3 linked regions of the Saccharomyces cerevisiae S288C genome follow. The gene in region 1 interacts genetically with each later gene. Each region holds a gene or a part of one and is shown in the gene's direction. Other genes may lie near its edges.

What was found. Genes that interact genetically often act in the same process or in processes that back each other up.
Region 2: mutations in NIT1 (region 1) and GRX4 together harm fitness more than expected from each alone (negative genetic interaction), as found in Saccharomyces cerevisiae (one large-scale study listed by BioGRID).
Region 3: mutations in NIT1 (region 1) and ECM23 together harm fitness more than expected from each alone (negative genetic interaction), as found in Saccharomyces cerevisiae (one large-scale study listed by BioGRID).

What each region holds. Positions count from the first base shown.
Region 1 is NC_001141.2:30,088-38,560, reverse strand, and holds NIT1 (Nit1p), read left to right. Parts: upstream 1-3,874; coding exon 3,875-4,474; downstream 4,475-8,473. Other genes in the region: beta-fructofuranosidase SUC2, read right to left, coding at 1-1,176; YIL163C (uncharacterized protein), read left to right, coding at 1,309-1,662; YIL165C (uncharacterized protein), read left to right, coding at 4,484-4,843; SOA1 (Soa1p), read left to right, coding at 5,995-7,623.
Region 2 is NC_001137.3:535,120-540,676, reverse strand, and holds GRX4 (monothiol glutaredoxin GRX4), read left to right. Parts: upstream 1-1,508; coding exon 1,509-2,243; downstream 2,244-5,557. Other genes in the region: YER175W-A (uncharacterized protein), read right to left, coding at 1-27; TMT1 (trans-aconitate 3-methyltransferase), read left to right, coding at 314-1,213; RAD24 (Rad24p), read right to left, coding at 2,398-4,377; ATP-dependent RNA helicase BRR2, read left to right, coding at 4,656-5,557. UniProt on the Saccharomyces cerevisiae protein: Monothiol glutaredoxin involved in the biogenesis of iron-sulfur clusters. Binds one iron-sulfur cluster per dimer. The iron-sulfur cluster is bound between subunits, and is complexed by a bound glutathione and a cysteine residue from each subunit.
Region 3 is NC_001148.4:509,105-514,978, forward strand, and holds ECM23 (Ecm23p), read left to right. Parts: upstream 1-1,996; coding exon 1,997-2,560; downstream 2,561-5,874. Other genes in the region: ssDNA endodeoxyribonuclease RAD1, read left to right, coding at 1-895; SUMO protease ULP1, read right to left, coding at 3,209-5,074; VTC3 (vacuolar transporter chaperone), read right to left, coding at 5,407-5,874. UniProt on the Saccharomyces cerevisiae protein: Involved in morphogenesis. May be involved in cell wall organization and biogenesis.

The sequences.
Region 1 (8,473 bases):
CTCAAACTCTAGGGTACCAGTCGAGTTGCTCAAATCGACATTGTAAGAATTGGCCTTAGTTAGAGTTGTGTTAGTAGCAAAACGAGACCAGGGACCAGCATTACTAATGTTCAATATTGGTTCGGCTTTCAAATTGATCAATTCAGTCTCTGGATTAGCTTGATATTCAGTGTTCAAAGAAAACTTGCGGACCAAAGACATGGATGATCTCCATGGGTTAGTTGGGACAAAGGCACTGTACTCCCAGTTTGAAGCCCAGGCAATACCTAATGCTGAACCGTAGGTTGGGTCAGTGTTGAAGAAAGTTTGCAAGGCATAGTAGTCCTTACCAAAATCTACCACTCTAGATTGATTGTCAAACGCTTCAAAATGAGTACCATTGAAGGATCCAACAAAATATTGGTTGAAGGAACCGCCAGCAGGTGCACCTGGGTTGATAGAAATAAACATGACCCAATAAGATTTGGAAGGATCTTGCTCAGTTGGGACTTCAATCAAACCTGGACATTCGTATTGGTAGCCTAAGAAACCTTCATTGGCAAATGCAGATTCTAGCTTCCAGGACTTCAAGTCATCAGAGGAGTAAATTTCAATTTTGTAGTCTTGTGATTTGGCAGCCGTCATAATCCATTTTTGAGAAGGTTCATACCAGAACACCTTTGGATCTCTGAATTGAGTGGAGTTGGCAGCTAAAACAGGGTTCTTTTGGTATTCAGTAAAAGTGTAACCACCATCAAGAGAATAGCTAATGTATTGCTCTTCACTTTCAGGAGTGTTATAAGTCCAAATCGCAACGCATCTTTGTCTTGGATCAATAGTATCATTGAAAAACCCACTCGTGTTGTTGTAATCAACCACCATGGAGCCAGAGAAAGCACCTGAATCGTTACGCTTGGGAGCGATAGCAATGGGTTGATCTTCCCAATTAGTCAAATCATCGGAAGTAGCATGGCCCCAAAACAATGGCGTACCCCATACGGTGTCATTTGGGTTGTATTGAAAGTACAGATGCCATTTGGCATCTTTTTCATCGTACCACAACCCATTTGGGTCATTCATCCAGCCCTTGTTGGGTGTGAAGTGGACCAAAGGTCTATCGCTAGTTTCGTTTGTCATTGATGCAGATATTTTGGCTGCAAAACCAGCCAAAAGGAAAAGGAAAGCTTGCAAAAGCATCATATACGTTAGTGAAAAGAAAAGCTTTTTGTTTTGCTTGTTTCTCTGAGAGAAAAAAAAAAGTAAGATATATGGTAAAAAAAAAGCACAAGAACAAGAGAATGTTTTGAAGAATAATACATATCTATTTATATGTTTCTTTTCAGGAGGAAGGATTATAGGATCGAAATCCAAAAAAAAAAAGTCGTCAAATCTTTCTTCCAAATGGTTTACTATAGAGCCCTTAGGCAACATTTTTGTCAAACAAAGTCGTTTAAGCATTCCTCGAAAAGAAACGTCTCTATGATGGTAATAGGCAAACATCGGGCGTACCTTAAAAGTCTTAGACATCACATAAAGGGATTTATAATCACATTCCTCGTCAGTTTTTCCAGAAACCTCCATGGAAAAACCCTGGACGTGGGGTCGATTAACGCTACGCGTATTTCTTCGCCCCCGGATAATTTCCTAAACTGGGTTTTTTCTTTTTATTCCTGTTCAGAGTAATAAAAATGCGGGGAATAATGGAAGCCCTCATAATGGATCGAGTTCAACAAAGGCACGCCTTTGGTAGAAGAATACTGTGGGCCTTTCTAACGTAGCATACCGACTGGTAATTTGCTCACAAACTATTCTAAATGACGTACTTTTTTGAGCTTTGCTGGGGGAGCGAGAACTACGCTAGGACAACAACTCCCATACGGTAAATGTCTTAGTATGTCGTGCTTGTACAAACGAAACATGATAAAATGGATACCTTCGACAGCTCACCGTGCCCCTGTCCTTTGTTCATTGGGAAACCTCCTGCCGTAATTCTACATACTATACTCGATACCCGAGATTGTGACGTGTGGATGCTAAGCCCCTATAACCTCAAACTTTTTAGCTTGGAAAGGCACTTAACTCAATTATAGGTTGTTGCGAATTCTGAATTTTTACAGCTACTTCTGTAGGGAATTCAGACCTCCGTACGGTATCTCCCTGTTTACTACAGGGGAAAACTTAGTTTTTTTTTTACTATAGTATATGCAAGGCCCTGAAGCTCCATGATATTTCGTAGATTATTCGGCTTCCTATTCAAGGCAATGTCTAGCCGTTTAATGTGCGACGGCATTAGCAAAGCTTCTTCAGTTAATAACTTTTCTACGTTCTTTAGCGCATTAATAGACTGATCGTCTATTACCATCGTGGAAATGAGGTATAGCACCTAAGAATACAGCGAAGGAGGTCTAACTGCTTCCCAGAAGTCACAGGAAAATAAACTTTTTTTTTTTATTTTCCGCTTTTTTCATAAACTTCTTTCACACTTTCCGCTTTTCCATACTTGGTAAATGCACATAATGCTATTGTAATATACAACCATGATTTCACTTCCCCTGGCGCAACAGTATGTTGTTAGCTATGATACAAAAATTTTTTAAGGCCATTTGAAAGCATCAATTTCTCAGAACACACTTCATCTACTGCAAAAGAAGACTTTCGAAGAAAAGTACAAATTGCGACGAACTACTTTCATAGTAACAAAATGAACAGTGACATTGAAAAGCAGAGAATGTTGAACATAGGCTAATTTTACGTTCTCACAGCCTGGCTAGCACCTAGAAACGACGCATGCTGCCATGTTAGTAGTCAAACAAAATTGAAGTGAGGCTCAAAATAGTTTGAATGAACACAACAAAACATTGGATAAGCTGTCATGCTACATTAGCAATACAAAAACCCGCACCCCGTAGTCACGTTCGCCTTCGCAGCTTTTTAAAAATGGCAAAGAGTCTGACTTATGCTCTGTTGACATTTAAGAGATACAATGAATCGATCCAACAATTATTAGCCATCAGTACTTCTCTTTTGTGAGGTAGGGCGACAAGAAAACGCACAAACTAGAGAAGATATTTATGCATTTTTCGGTATATCAGATAAAAGTTGGTAGTGCTCGAGCTTTTCTTTCTATACCAATAAATGCTGCAAAATATTATAATCTAATTAGTACTGAAGTAACTCTAGCAAAGCACAGGTGACAAAATTTGTGCTGGTGATTGTTGGTACTGCTATCGCCAGAATAGTCGAGATGTTTGCATGTATCGACTGCTATGCGCGTAAGAAATTGGAATTTTGTATGGATAACTATGGCCGACCACTGCACCTAGCAACAGTGAAGAACTCGTTTATCGAGAGACGAGTGTCGAGATAACAGATATGACAATTAGATTATGTAGCCGAAACCATATATTAGAGCCAGTAGTTGTTTGATCATAGCTTGATTTTCATTAATTATCAGTCCTCTTCCGTGTAGTGCCTTTTTTCTTCTGCAAGCGAACTTTTTACAGATGGAAGTTCGATAACAGAGGAAAAAGGCGAAAGGTGGTTACTTGAAACATGGTGTATCTTAAAAACCGCTCGAAATTATAGAGGTGAAATTACAAGTTACTTGCGGTTCGATAAGCAAACGCATTTACGCTTATACTTTGGAGCCACATTTCACTATGAACGCCACATTATATTAATCCCACCGCGATTTGAAAACGGTTATCAGTAAAGTTGGCCTAATGCTTACGAAATATGAGCTATCTTTTTTGCTTCGTAAAAAAAATGGAGCCCAGGCCTCCGTGACTCATAAAGGGCAGTGTATATAAATAATAAAAGCTCTTCAATAAGAAAGGGTGATATTATGACTTAGGGTTAGCCAATCACTTTTCGAGGCTACCTCTAGTTAACCACAATGGCGAAACACATTGTTGCTGCCCTTCAAATCGGCTCTTGTCCGGGCTCTACTAAGGATACCTTGAAAAAAATTTTGTCATATGAGAAGGAGATCAAGGAATCTGGTGCCAAGTTGGTCGTTATCCCAGAAGCCACTCTTGGTGGTTATCCAAAGGGATCGAACTTTGGGGTTTATCTAGGCTACCGTCTTCAAGAAGGAAGGGAGGAGTATGCTAAGTATCTTGCCGAAGCAATTGAGATCGGAAACGGAGAGAAATATCCAGAAATTAGTCAGTTGTGCGCACTATCGAAGGCCACCGACGCATCCTTATGTGTGGGGTGTATAGAGCGCGATGGGACGACATTATATTGTACCATGGTTTATATAGATCCTAAAGATGGCTACGTTGGGAAGCATCGAAAACTGATGCCGACAGCTGGCGAAAGACTGATATGGGGTCAAGGCGATGGTTCGACTCTGCCTGTCGTGGATACCGCTGCTGGGAAGATTGGCGGTGCTATCTGCTGGGAGAACATGATGCCTCTACTGAGATACGCCATGTATAAAAAAGGGGTTGAGATCTGGTGTGCCCCAACGGTGGATGCTAGGCCTATTTAGAGGACTGTGATGAAAAATATTGCATACGAAGGTCGTCTATTCTTGATTAGTGCAGTGCAGTTCATGCCAGATGCGACAGCAATGGGCTTTGGGGAGATTATTGACCAAGCTACAGGTAAGAGAAAATTACCTGGATGGCCATCTGCTGACGACAACTGTATTAATGGAGGTAGTGTTATTATTGATCCTTATGGAGAGATTATTGCAGGGCCATTGCTAGGGCAGGAGGGCCTTTTAACCGCCGAAATTAACACTGACTTGATTGCTGAAGCTCGCTTTGATCTTGACCCTGTCGGACATTATGCTAGGGGAGATGTCTTCCAGTTGACTGTCAATGAAAGGTCACACGATGTCAAGTTTACGAAATGAATACCGCATAAATCCATTAACTAGGCTTTCATGAATGGTGGCTCGAAAATATTCGTTAATATCAATATGTCTGTTATATAATGTTTTATGTACAAGAGATAATGTAGATCTGTAATATTCAATCAAATAGGCATTTGTTTGAAATCCATACGTCTCTAAGATATAATCCAAGCCATGATTTTGAAATCAGGATCGCAAACCTGATCATTTAATTTTTACCTTTTTTTAAAATATAAATTAACATTTATTAATAAATAGGTGTATTTGAGAAGTTTCATTTTCGTTCAACAGCCCAGTTATCATCATTTCACAAACAAGAAGGAGATATTAGCATTTTCTCCCGGATCCGATTAACACAGTTTTTTTGTTTAATCCGGTGTGAAGAAGATTTATAAATGTCGTGATATTTTTTAATGTGGAGATTGTACGATGACGGGTAGGAGTCAAGACAAGCTAAAGAATGCAGCCTTAATAATTGCGCCTTTCACAATCAAAATTATGCATTGACCCGATACAAGAATCACCGTGTGGATCAAGCCATTCTTACCAAGCTTACTTTTGCCGTCGCCAAGGCTGTTTGTAGTCATTCTCTGAACTTTTTTCCTTGGCATTCGGCTCGACGCAGAGAATTTCGGATCGATATAATCCCGAAATAGTCCGTTTCTCGGATAATTGTGCCGAAATGCATCATATTACAACGTACTATCTTGAATTGCTAGCATTCTCGTAAGAAAGAAAAACCTCGAGCAAATAGGCTACATTTGCTGCTGCACCCCTTTACAGCACAAAGTCGTTGCAGCTAGCTCCTTAAAATAAGGACCCTGCAGTCATGTGGCATATATAATAGTTGGCGAAGCTTGAAGCCTCACTTAGAGGTTGACGCCTCACTTGAGGTTTCAACATATACTGATGGTTTCATTTCAACAGCCTATGGGTCAATTGGGAATAACTATCAATGCTACCAATTTGTCACACTTTATTGCCTAATAGGTTTGGCGCTTACTATCAAATACATGACGTATTCCCTGCGCTAGGTTCGTCTTCTACTGAATCATTTAGTATAAAAAGGCAGCGTTCAATTGTTGATTATTGAAATTATTTATTGTACAAACAATTAATAAAAAATTCAATCAACAAACAAAGTTTCATCTATGTCCGTACAAAAAGAAGAATACGATATTGTAGAAAAGGCCCAATTATCTGTGTCCGCAGAAAGCTTAACATCAGATTCGGAGAGTATTTCACATAACCCATTTGACGATTTTCATAAAGCAGAGCGTTGGAGAAAAGTCTATGAATCCAGTGGTTATGAAGGCTTGTCTAAATTCGATCCTGAGTTTACATGGACAAAGGATGAGGAAAAGAAATTGGTAAGAAAAATGGACTTGAAGATTTTTTTGTGGGTTTTTATTATGTTTGCCTTTTTGGATTTAATAAGGAAAAATATTGCAAGGGCAGTTTCAGACAACTTCATTGTTGACTTGAAAATGAACACGAACGACTACAACCTTGGCCAAACTGTTTATCTAGTTATATTTCTAGCAAGTGAACTACCCGGCAATCTGCTGTCCAAAAGATTTGGTCCAGAAAGGGTCATTCCGGTTCAAATTGTGTTGTGGAGTGTAATTTGTATTACTCAAGCTGGTCTGAAAAATCGAGGTCAATTTATTGCTACTAGATGCTTATTAGGAATGGTACAGGGCGGGTTCATCCCGGACAATATTCTATACTTGTCATATTATTATACTGGAGCTGAGCTCACATTCCGCCTAAGTTTCTTTTGGTGTGCTATACCTCTTTTCCAAATTTTAGGCTCTCTTTTAGCTTCCGGAATCATAGAGATGAGGGGTATTCATAACTTAGCTGGCTGGCAGTACCTATTTATAATTGAAGGGTTTCTGTCCCTTTCTGTTGGCGTGGCATCCTTTTATTTAATGCGTAGAGGACCTACGCAAACTGGTGAGTCTGCATTTCACAAAGGAAAATCGTTATTCACTGAGTATGAGGAGAAAATTATGGTTAACAGAATTTTAAGGGATGACCCATCAAAGGGTGACATGAGTAACCGACAACCAGTTACCTTCAAGGAGATTTTGTACACTCTAACAGAATTTGATCTATGGCCATTGTTTATCCAAGGTATTACAGCATTCATATCTCTTCAAACAGTTGGTTCCTATTTATCTTTGATATTAAAGAGTTTAAATTACTCTACATTTCTTTCGAACATTTTAGCAATTCCAGGCCAAGCCCTGCTGCTAATAAATTTACCATTAGCGGCACTATTATCGCGTAAATTGAAAGAAAAATCACTTTGTGTGGGAATTGCCAACGTTTGGGTGCTCCCTTTCATAGTTTCTCTGGTCGCTTTACCGACTGACACAAACCCCTGGATCAAGTATATATTACTAACCGGTATACTTGGTCTTCCCTATACACATTCCATTCTTGCTGGTTGGGTCTCCGAGATTTCAAATTCGGTAAGATCGCGTACAGTGGGCACAGCGTTATACAATATGAGTGCCCAAGTTGGAGCAATCATTGCTTCTAACATGTATAGAAATGATGATAAACCTTACTATACTAGAGGTAACAAAATACTTCTAGGATTCACTTGCTTCAACATTTGTATGGCTGTTGCTACTAAGTTTTACTATATTAGTAGGAATAAATACAAGGACCGCAAATGGAACTCTATGACAAAAGAAGAGCAGATCAATTACTTGGACACAACTAAAGATAAGGGAATGAAGCGTCTTGATTATAGGTTTATTCACTAGATTAAGTTTTCGTGTATTAAAATTTTTGCTGTTAGAGTAATGCTACACGCAAAAGCGAGAAGTCATACATCAAAAAAAATTATTACACCAGAGCAACAAAAGGTTAATGCAAAAACTTTTTTTTTTCGAGTTTTTAAGGTAAAGGTCATGGGATGTTATTGCTTTTTAGTAGTTTTGCACTGCTATACCACAAAAGCAGGTGACAGCAATTGTGTGTTCACGGAAACAAAAAAAAGTTTTTGAACATAATAACACCAAAATCTTCGGTAATTGATATCAAAATACAATGACCAATTGTAAATATTCCTCTGAACCAGCCTAATGCTTCTCAAATAATCCCCAAGCACACAAATATTCTATGTAGGAGCTCACAGGTCAACGCGCTAAGCTACCGATGTTACCTTACATTCATAAGGTGTCATCTGTTTATGCTGTTTGCAGATAACCTTCATTTGTGATCTCTTGCAACTTTCTTATCTCAAGATTTCACAATATTCCGCGTGAATCGTAGAATTAATTTCTACATTCATATGTAAATAAAATTTTCTTTACTACTCTCCGAATTATACTAGTTAATTCTTTCTTCTACATATTAGTAATATCAATATACACTCTTTTTTATTGATTTTTTTATAAATTATTATGGCATAGCATAGCTTCAGCGTTACTATCCGCTTAACATTTCTCATCTACCAAGCTACTTGCAGGAGCTTCATCCTAGGTGCTTAATTGCTTTAATACTGTAGTATCAGTAGATTGAATTTCCAGACCACCATCCAATAAAAAGACTAGAACGAAAAAAAATGAAACACATCTTAATAAGTCCGAACGTACATAGATAGATCGCGAT
Region 2 (5,557 bases), on another chromosome or scaffold:
ACAGATAAATGTTTTATGTAGTCTCATGCATTGTTAAATGACCAATAAAAAGGGTGTTCCATCAACCTATCTAATCAGAAAAATTAGGTGCAATTCTGCCGTTGTTTACTATAAATGAATCACACCTTATGTGTTGATGTTCATGACTCACAGTAATATCCTTTTTTTTTCTGGTTTTCCGAAAGTTTATCTTCCTTATTTTCATTTTTAAAGGAAAAGGAATGTAACTAATTTAGTATGTTTTCGTTGTAGCAGTCTTTATTAGTTGTTATGAGAATTATCTCCTAACAAGATAACAAAATAAGTGATAATAATGTCTACCTTTTCTGCTTCTGATTTCAACTCAGAAAGATATTCATCTTCAAGACCTTCTTATCCCTCCGATTTTTACAAGATGATTGATGAATACCACGACGGAGAAAGGAAATTACTCGTAGATGTTGGCTGTGGACCAGGTACTGCCACTTTACAAATGGCTCAGGAGTTAAAACCATTCGAACAAATTATCGGAAGCGATCTCTCCGCTACCATGATTAAGACTGCAGAAGTAATAAAGGAAGGAAGTCCTGATACATACAAAAACGTTTCATTTAAGATTTCTTCAAGTGATGATTTTAAATTCCTAGGCGCGGATTCAGTAGACAAACAGAAAATTGATATGATTACCGCAGTAGAATGTGCTCATTGGTTCGATTTCGAAAAATTTCAGCGATCTGCTTATGCCAATTTGAGAAAAGATGGTACTATCGCTATTTGGGGTTATGCGGACCCAATTTTCCCGGACTACCCTGAATTTGATGATCTGATGATTGAAGTTCCTTACGGGAAGCAAGGACTGGGACCCTATTGGGAACAACCGGGGAGATCTCGCCTTCGTAATATGCTGAAAGACTCTCACTTAGACCCAGAACTTTTCCATGATATACAAGTTTCATATTTTTGTGCAGAAGATGTGAGAGACAAAGTAAAACTCCACCAGCATACAAAGAAGCCATTGCTAATCAGAAAGCAGGTCACCCTAGTGGAGTTTGCAGATTATGTCAGAACCTGGAGCGCTTACCATCAGTGGAAGCAGGATCCAAAGAACAAAGATAAAGAAGATGTAGCAGATTGGTTTATTAAAGAGTCACTAAGGAGGAGGCCGGAACTTTCCACCAACACCAAAATTGAAGTTGTTTGGAATACTTTTTACAAACTTGGCAAAAGGGTCTGAAAATTTCAGCCAATAAGCATTATATTCGTGAAATTTTAGTAAGAGCGCGCGTTTTAATTGGTGAAGCCTCGCGACGTATTCACAGATGTCCTAGAAAAAGTTACCATATCTGAAGACTGGTTGATATTTAGCTTAAATAGCATATTAATACTGTACCAGTTGAACCATTTTTTAATCTGTTACTGCCAGGAACGTTGATTCGTTTTCCCGGTAACATTGTTGTCTTTGGGTACTGAGCATATTTCATTTTTCCACTTACATATAACTAAATTTCTGTGCTCTTCCTCCAATAAATATGACTGTGGTTGAAATAAAAAGCCAGGACCAATTTACGCAACTAACCACTACAAACGCTGCTAATAAACTCATTGTCTTATATTTTAAAGCTCAATGGGCTGATCCTTGCAAAACTATGAGCCAGGTGCTAGAAGCTGTTAGTGAAAAAGTTAGGCAAGAGGATGTCCGGTTTTTATCAATAGATGCAGACGAACATCCAGAAATATCAGACCTTTTTGAGATTGCAGCCGTACCATACTTCGTCTTCATTCAAAATGGTACTATTGTAAAAGAAATATCAGCCGCAGATCCTAAGGAGTTTGTGAAAAGCTTAGAAATTCTTTCGAATGCTTCTGCCTCACTAGCGAACAATGCCAAGGGTCCTAAATCTACGTCTGATGAGGAAAGCAGCGGGTCTTCCGATGATGAAGAGGACGAAACTGAAGAAGAAATAAATGCTAGGCTGGTGAAGCTAGTACAAGCTGCACCTGTGATGCTATTCATGAAAGGAAGCCCATCAGAACCTAAATGCGGATTTTCTAGACAGTTAGTTGGTATCCTCAGAGAACACCAAATAAGGTTCGGATTTTTTGATATATTAAGAGACGAAAACGTTAGACAAAGCTTGAAGAAGTTTTCTGATTGGCCTACTTTTCCTCAGTTATATATCAATGGGGAGTTCCAGGGAGGTTTGGATATTATCAAGGAATCTATAGAAGAAGATCCTGAATATTTCCAACATGCTCTACAGTAAGCCTTATTTTGTAATGAAAACTATATTCATACATATATACATATTAATATATATGTATATATTTTTATTTATTAATTTATTCTAGAATGTAATGTGCATAGATTTGTGTGGAATATTTCCTGGGGTTTTCTCGTCAAATTTAAAGAGTAAAAAGTTAGAGTATTTCCAGATCTGAATCTGAAAGGGACTCACTGATAACTGGCGCTTTACGCGGCTGTCTCTGGGACAGAATTTCACATAGAGACTCGTCTTCGTCGCTTCTACCAAATGTTTCATTGCCAATATTATTGCTGTTATCGCTATCGCTATCGACAATAGGGTCATCATTAAAAGAAGTTTCTTCGTCTTCAAGATCGTCGTTAGCCATCATCACATTTCTTTCATATTGGTCAATCAACATGCGAAGCCTTCTGTCCCTTTCCTTTTTTTGATCCTCTAAATGGTCACAATTATTGCTATCATTATCCATCAATGGTGCTAGTCCATCCTCCACAGATAGTGCTTCGATAGGCCCGCCTATCCGATCCACAACGTCGATTCCGTTCTCAACTTTCATTATATCACTAAATTTGTCCATGGTTTGTTTGGGCCCCGAGGAGCCACTCGGAAGATTCTTCAAATAATAGAGAATGTATTTTTTTTTATAACTCTGACACTTTCTAATTAGAGGTGCGTAGTAGCCAAATTCTAGAGTTATATTCCTGAAAGAATGTACCGCGTTGTACTTATAAAGACTAACATTTAACCAATCTTCAGCTTGAACTTTAAATGAATTTTGTAATTTTCTTACTTTCCATTCTCTTGGAAAATAAACCGTTCCATGATTATGGCCTTGTTTACTGATGTTACGAAAGGTTTTGCGCACTTCTCGTAAACCATACTCATTGGATTCTGGTAGACCATTCATATTATCACACTCGCTCAGGCAATCCACAATTGATGATGCATCAGAAATGCTGAATTCGCCTTTATTAAATGTGTTATAGTTCTCTAATATTCCTAATTTGAAATCCTCTTTCGATAACAAATTGTTCGAATTTTCGAAGAGGTTATTAATCATTTCGTTATCGTTATTCGTGCTATGGGAACCATGTATCACCTTCCCAATGGCATGAAAGTATGATATGGTGGATTCTCGGGTTGAAATCGGCAAACTTCCACTTGATGTCGCCCAAAATTGAAGGGTCGTAATGGCCGACCTAATATCACCAGTCTCTTGCGCAATATAATCTATGACTTCCTGTCTTTTATTCCATTTATTTTTCTCCTTCAACATTTTCATATTCTGTACACAAATAAATTTCAAGTGCTTTTTTAATAAAGTGCTGTTAATTGGATTAAACTTAATTCTTTTCAACCTTGGATGCATCAATATTTCTTTGTTCATTATGGTTTCTGCACTAAATGTATAATCAATACCAAATTTGCGATAATTATTATCGTTCTCTGGAATTTCACATTCAGTTATACATATAACAAGGGGAGGTAATAGAGGCTCCGAACTATATAGCCACTGTAATATAAGTTGTTGAAATCGACGTCTGGTATCTATATGGAAGACGTTGGGAAGGTCCTCGATAAGTATTAATGACAGGTTGGACATCACAAGATACCGTGCGCCTTTTAAGAACTCACTAAAGCTTTCCATCTGAGGAAGATCGTTGACTATACAATCACCTCTAAACTCGGTCACTTTATGCTCGTTCGGGGTGCTTCGAAAGGACGTTCCGTTGCTGTTTTGTCTGTATTTAGGAACTAAGATTTTTGAGAGTTCTTTTATGACCGTACTTTTAGAGCATCCACTGGGGCCAGACAGTAGTAGGATCCTATGCTTGGCGTTAGGTAAAAACATGGCATCTAAAGCTTCTTGTACATCTTTAAGTTTTCTTTTATGTATGGCCACTTGCTCCAAACAATTGGGCTTGAACTTTTCGTACCACTGTTCACCGCCGTCGTCGTTGATACTTGGGAGGATACTAGACGTATCTTGCTTGGAAAGAAAGTCATTTTCAGTGCTTCTCGCCTTACGAACTGGCGAAGTCGGTCTAGATGAGCTCCATTTTGTTATTTGCGAGCCCAATGAACTGAGACTATATTGTAATAAGGGCCGTTTGTTCAAATTCGTACTATCCATATCATTCAGACAGGAACAAACTTGATAATTAGTGGTGTTGAATCAAGTACTATTAACGCATTGTGATGATCTCTCAGATATCAATGCGTGTTTGCTTCTTTGACGATCTAATATTGAATATTGTCGCTCTTTACGAGAATATTAAAAATTTATGCTACTAAAGCTATGTCTACTATAAAGGAATAATACACTAATAGAGATAATCTTGAGTAAAATAAGGTGAAGGTAAATATAAGTAATTGCTTTGGAAGATTTACCGTGAGCCTTCGTTATTAAAAATGACTGAGCATGAAACGAAGGATAAGGCCAAAAAAATTAGAGAAATTTATCGTTATGATGAGATGTCCAATAAGGTGTTGAAAGTTGATAAACGCTTTATGAATACCAGCCAAAATCCTCAAAGGGATGCGGAAATATCACAACCAAAATCCATGAGTGGTAGAATTAGTGCTAAGGATATGGGACAGGGCCTGTGCAATAACATTAATAAAGGACTAAAAGAAAATGATGTAGCCGTTGAAAAAACTGGAAAGAGCGCATCATTGAAAAAAATTCAGCAGCATAACACCATTTTGAATTCTTCCTCCGATTTCAGGTTACATTATTATCCAAAGGATCCCTCAAATGTCGAAACTTACGAGCAGATTTTGCAGTGGGTTACAGAAGTTTTAGGCAATGATATACCCCATGATCTTATTATTGGAACTGCTGATATATTCATCAGACAATTGAAAGAAAATGAGGAAAATGAGGATGGTAATATTGAAGAGCGAAAGGAAAAGATCCAGCATGAGCTAGGCATCAATATAGACTCCCTGAAGTTTAACGAATTAGTTAAACTTATGAAAAACATTACCGATTATGAAACACATCCTGACAATAGCAATAAACAAGCAGTAGCAATTCTTGCCGATGATGAAAAATCAGATGAAGAAGAAGTAACAGAAATGTCCAACAATGCTAATGTTCTTGGGGGAGAAATCAATGATAATGAAGATGATGATGAGGAATATGATTACAATGACGTTGAAGTCAATTCTAAAAAAAAAAACAAGAGGGCATTGCCAAACATTGAAAACGATATAATTAAACTCTCCGATAGTAAAACAAGTAATATCGAGAGCGTTCCGATATACTCAATCGATGAATTTTTTTTGCAGAGAAAACTTCGGTCAGAGCT
Region 3 (5,874 bases), on another chromosome or scaffold:
TAATACCAGAAATGCGGGTGGGCAGCAGGGATTCCATAATCTTACTCAGGATGTCGTCATTGTGGATACACGTGAGTTTAATGCCTCATTACCAGGCTTACTCTACCGATATGGCATAAGGGTTATTCCTTGTATGTTGACAGTCGGCGATTATGTGATAACTCCTGATATTTGTCTCGAAAGAAAATCGATTTCTGACTTAATTGGGTCATTACAGAATAACAGATTAGCCAACCAATGTAAAAAAATGTTAAAATACTATGCATATCCGACACTATTGATTGAGTTTGATGAAGGACAGTCGTTTTCTTTAGAACCTTTTAGTGAACGTAGAAATTATAAGAATAAAGACATATCAACTGTTCATCCTATATCAAGCAAGTTATCCCAGGATGAAATTCAGCTAAAACTAGCCAAATTAGTATTGCGGTTTCCCACTTTAAAGATTATATGGTCTTCCTCACCCCTGCAAACTGTAAATATAATCCTAGAGTTGAAATTAGGACGTGAGCAACCTGACCCTAGTAATGCAGTTATATTGGGAACGAATAAAGTTAGATCGGATTTTAATAGCACTGCAAAGGGCCTGAAGGATGGTGATAACGAGTCTAAATTCAAGAGACTGTTGAATGTTCCTGGAGTGTCAAAAATTGATTATTTCAATCTCCGCAAAAAGATCAAGAGCTTCAATAAGCTTCAAAAGCTTTCATGGAATGAGATTAATGAACTTATTAATGACGAAGATTTGACGGATAGAATATACTACTTCTTGAGAACAGAAAAAGAAGAACAAGAACAAGAGTCAACAGATGAAAATCTTGAATCTCCTGGTAAGACCACTGATGATAACGCTTTACATGATCATCATAATGATGTTCCTGAAGCACCTGTGTAAAATATTGTTTAATTTAACGAACCCTGTTAAAACATCAGTATAAAATGCGATTAACTATAGTGAAAATAACAATATTCATTTGGTGACTTCGACCGTATATGTTATAAGTTAGACATGCTCTTTGAATCTTTTACTTTGATATTTTATTCCGCATATATATTCTTTTTTTCGCGTTCATAGTTTATTCACTCAAATTTTTCATATCATCCGCAATTCATCTTCCACTTTTTAGCAGTAAAAATGACCAAATGAAGTTCATTTATTTTTGATTTTTTAACCGTATTTGGTGGAATCTGAGCGTGGCATTAGTGAATCATTTTAAGCCAAATTACCCGTGAGTTTTTCTTAGAAGCGCACAATCATATTCATTATTAATAAATGCTTCAAATTCATCCTCTTGAATAAGGTCCAGAAATAATTTTGTCTCTTTTCCATTACCTATGTGGGTAAAAATTTTCTTTTGCGACTAAGATTCAAGAGACCAAGTTTCTTTTCCACAACGATATATAATAAACCAAATGGTACAAAGTAGGAAACAACAAATAAGGAAAGCTTTTTCTTAAGTAGATTTGTATATTTATCCAAGAATGAACGATGTGTCTCGTAAACAGTAATTCCTTTTAAATTTTATATTTCTTCTATTTTCTGAACTTTTTTACTTAAGAAAAAATTTGGAAATCATTACCTGTAGGATGGCTTAGCTCTGATAATCAACCTACCAAAGTAGTTTGCAGTTATGTGCACTTTTCCCTTCATGTTAACATTATTCGGGCCGGTCTATTGTTAAATAATTAAGGGTCCATTTTAGGCACGGCGGATTCACAGAAAACCACGCAGTGCTCAACGTCATATACCACAAAATCCGTTTTCGTATTAAAAGTGAATGTGTCAGTAAAAGGCATTCTTTTTAGCGTTCATTATTTCCTTTAATATGATGTACCAATCTGTCCACTGCCTATGTAAACTTAAAAGGGAGGCATTTATGACTTGAGATTTGGTTAAATTACCAATATCTCAAGGGTAACAATATTTGCTATACTGGTCATCTAGAATAAAAATACTGCGTTGTAGTGCTGAGTGATAGAACTTTTAAATCATATTATGTTATATAACAAAGAGCAGGGAACAAGCGGCGCTAGTAGCTCTGGTCGTAGAACGAAATTCCACTTCGATCGTTTTGTACAAATGGTTCTGTTCATTGCCGCTAATCCCAATTATTGCTGTTCAGTAGCCAGTATCCCGAAATCTGGTGTCACGCCAGATTTAAAAAGAGCAGATATTCTTGAACAGAAGATCAAAAGCTTAAATAGTGCGCTGAGTCCAAAATTGAAGGAAGAAAGTCGTCTTGGTGGGCCTTTGCATAACCCCTCTATTCTACCAGCCCCATCTTTTTCATCACTACCAATATCATCCAATGGAAAGAAATCTTTAGCAGGATATAGACCTAAAAGTAGGAAGAAACAAACTATACTCCCCAACGGTCAACCAAAAGAGTGCGCCACTTGTGGTGACACCTGGACTTCTCAGTGGAGAAGTGGACCTAATGGAAATGTTGAGCTATGTAGTCGATGTGGCATAGCATATAGGAAAAAAATGGAGAAAAAAATACGATCGCAACAATCCTCCGATGATGGTACTAAAAATTTTATATTTAAAAATAAATAGTTAAGTAGTTTGTAAAGATGGTATATTCAGCGGATTCTTCCTCTATTTTTATGTTTTTTGAGATATTTCGAGCTTTCTATTTTTTTAAAATGCCTGAATTTCCATCTTCAAAAAAAACATAAAAAAGGTACTTTACCACCAAATAAATGATAACCACAATTTACTTTACTTATCCTCCACTATCAAGTATCTTCCTACCAGGAAAAATGAATTTCAAATGATTCGAAATTTACGGAGGCTCAATATAGAGATAGTGTGACGATGTTCATAAGGGCTTTACCGCTTAGCACGTATCTACAGTTTTCACTCAATAATATATTCTCTAGGAATGATTGCCAATAGATTGATATCCAAGAGAAGGTTCAATTAAGGAATTTCATTTCGTTCTAATCTTTTGTTGAAAATAAAAATTTTTACTTATATGTTAAAGCTTAAGATTCCACATAAGGTCGAAGACAATCGTCACTAATGTGTGGTTCTGCCTGCTCATCTCTAAAATATATTACTTTTTGTACAGACATCTAAATTGAGCTGGTGCTTATGCTATTCTTATGATTTATTTTCAAGTGGTTTATTGAACTTTATTCCATATCCAATGATCTGAATATTTCTACTTATGTATAATAATTGTATATTATAAAAGAATAACTATTTTAAAGCGTCGGTTAAAATCAAATGGGCAATAAATCTTCTCATCCTAATCGCATCTTTATAATCAAAATCCAATGGCGCATCTGCACTTCCATAGAGAGTATTCATACAAACATATATTCCACAGTCGTAGCCATTTGGTTGCTGCGGACAATCTAAATGAATCAAATCAAAGTCTTCTCCTATTGTATGCTTACTTTCCTCCATAACATATTTTTGCAAGTCAGTCAGTATAGCGAAACTCATAGCATTTGGACCATTCGATAATGAATCTACGTAACCTATAGTTTTCTTTTTTAAATCAATTATGCCCAACGCCCAGTGGGATTGGTTCAAATTTATTGGTGTAAAGATTTTATCAAGTTTATCAATTTGTGTCTTCTTTCTCTTCATCCACCTCCGGACGCCTTGATAACCCCTTTCTGATAAATTGGTATAGAAAAATGAATTAAACGCCACTGTATTAGGGGTAGATTTTTCAATGTATTTCATAAAAAACTCAATGATAGTGTCATTTAGCCATCTTCGTGGTGCCAAGGTCTTAAAATCACGTACTGTTATCTCTATATTATCTCTATTCATTAACTGAGTATTTTCTCTAGATGCCAAAGCTTTTTGTACTTGGTCATCGTCTTTTTCATTTAATTCAGGAACAAGTTTCTTCTTGGCCAATTGTTCTTTCTTTTTTTTAAGATCTTCTTGAATCTTCTTTCTTTCATTTAAAATTTCGTTATATCTTTTGAAGTCTTTCTCAAACTCTAATATAGATCTATCAAACTTCAACTTTTGATTTAAGTAATCCTTATGTTTCCTTTCCAAAGAAGATATCTTTTTTTCTTTAACAAATACTAAATCATCATCATTTTCATTTCTTGTCTGTAGTCTGTTCTTGTTGTTCTCAATTAAAATTGTTTTGATCTTTTCAGTTAAGTCGATTATAGACTTTTTTAAGCCAGTGTCTTTTTCCTTATCCATATCCATTAATTTTAACTGTCTTTCTCTTTCTTCTTTTAATATTTTTGGAACTTTATATTCTCCGTTGAATATTTGTCGTAAATATGTTACTTCCTCAGATTGTGCTCTCGACACCAGTTTAGTATTGTTAATGTTCTGTTTTGCAACTTTTTTCTTTCTAATAAAGGCTGTCCCATACTGTCGCCTGTCGTAGCTATTTTTCTGATCAGAAGTGTTATTTTCTGAGTTAGAACCAATAGCACTTGTTTTCCACTTATTCCAACCAAAAGGATCTCTCGAAAAAGTTATGCTATTGTCACTATCACAATTGCTTTTTTGAGAAGCCAAAGAGCTGATTGGTGAGGTTGAAGGTGTCCCCACACCTTCACTTTCGATTCTTCTCCTTTTATTTGGTAAGGCCCACGTCGACGTATCGAATTTGTGTTTTCTTGTATCCGAGGAATAATTTTCACGTAGACCATATGGTACGTCACTGCTCCTACTTCCAGAACTTCTGCTCTCAACGTCGCTGTTACCACTTGCTTCTACTTCAGAACCATCAAAATTGCGAGGTTCGTTTTTCACAAATGTGTGCCATAAGTACTTACCTGAGTTCCAAAGAGTTTCTCTTATGCCTCCTATAAAACCAGCTTTACTAGCTCTATCTGACCCATCTTTCATTGATTCTTCCATTGATAAAACACGGCGGTCGTTTAAATAATTGAATCTTGACGTATTGGTTCTTTTTTTATAAATACCACTAAAACTGGCTGATCTTCTAGACTCGGAGGGATTGTTCAATACCCGAGGATAACACCTATATGTAGAAATTGGGGAGAATAAAGGGGAGTAAGGGTTCTTTTTATGATACTGTAGTGTGTTCCGGTGCTTATCTACTTCAACTGACATTATTATGATATCCAAAGGTCAGAGGAAGAAGAGGAAAAAAACTGAAACAGAAGTAGATATTGATGAATAATTTTAATTAGCAATATAGATTTGCGGAGCTGAAACGAACGTTTCAGCTATTTTTTGATCTGGGTTTAACTATCACACACATCTTCTCATTATGTGCATTTTGAATTTTGAAAATAAAAAGAGGCGGCGCCGGCACCTGCTGAAAGCTGTTTAATATGATTTAATACGGAAGAGCAAATATGTATAAATAGAGAACAATTAATTAATTATGATAGTAACTGGTACTTGTGTAATATATGTGTATATAAAAAATATACATGTTCTTATTCCCCAACCAAATTGAAGATAAAATCTTGAATTGGTTTTAGTGTACGGGGTAACGAAGGCTGGGAGGAAACGTTTACTAATCCTCTTTCCCTCCTAGCGGCCTCTTTAAAAGCCACACTAAAGTTAACAACCAAGGTAACGATTAATACAACTGCAACCAAAATAGGTCCCACAGGTGCATCCAAATGCTTACCACTTCTACCTTTAATAAGAGTTAATCTTTTTAAGTAGGTTCTATAAGCCCATACTCCGCAAAACAAAGTCAAAAAGAAATATACATAGGCCAACAGATCAGCTAGTTGTGGAAATTCGGCTTTTTGCACTGAATTATAGATAGAAAAGGTCAATACACTCAGCAATGTGGTTACACTTAACCATCTATTGAATGTACGTTCATTGGCGAGCCAAACTTTTGCCTCAACTTTGACAGGACCGGCATTTTTCAAAAGGTGAACTGGTTTTTT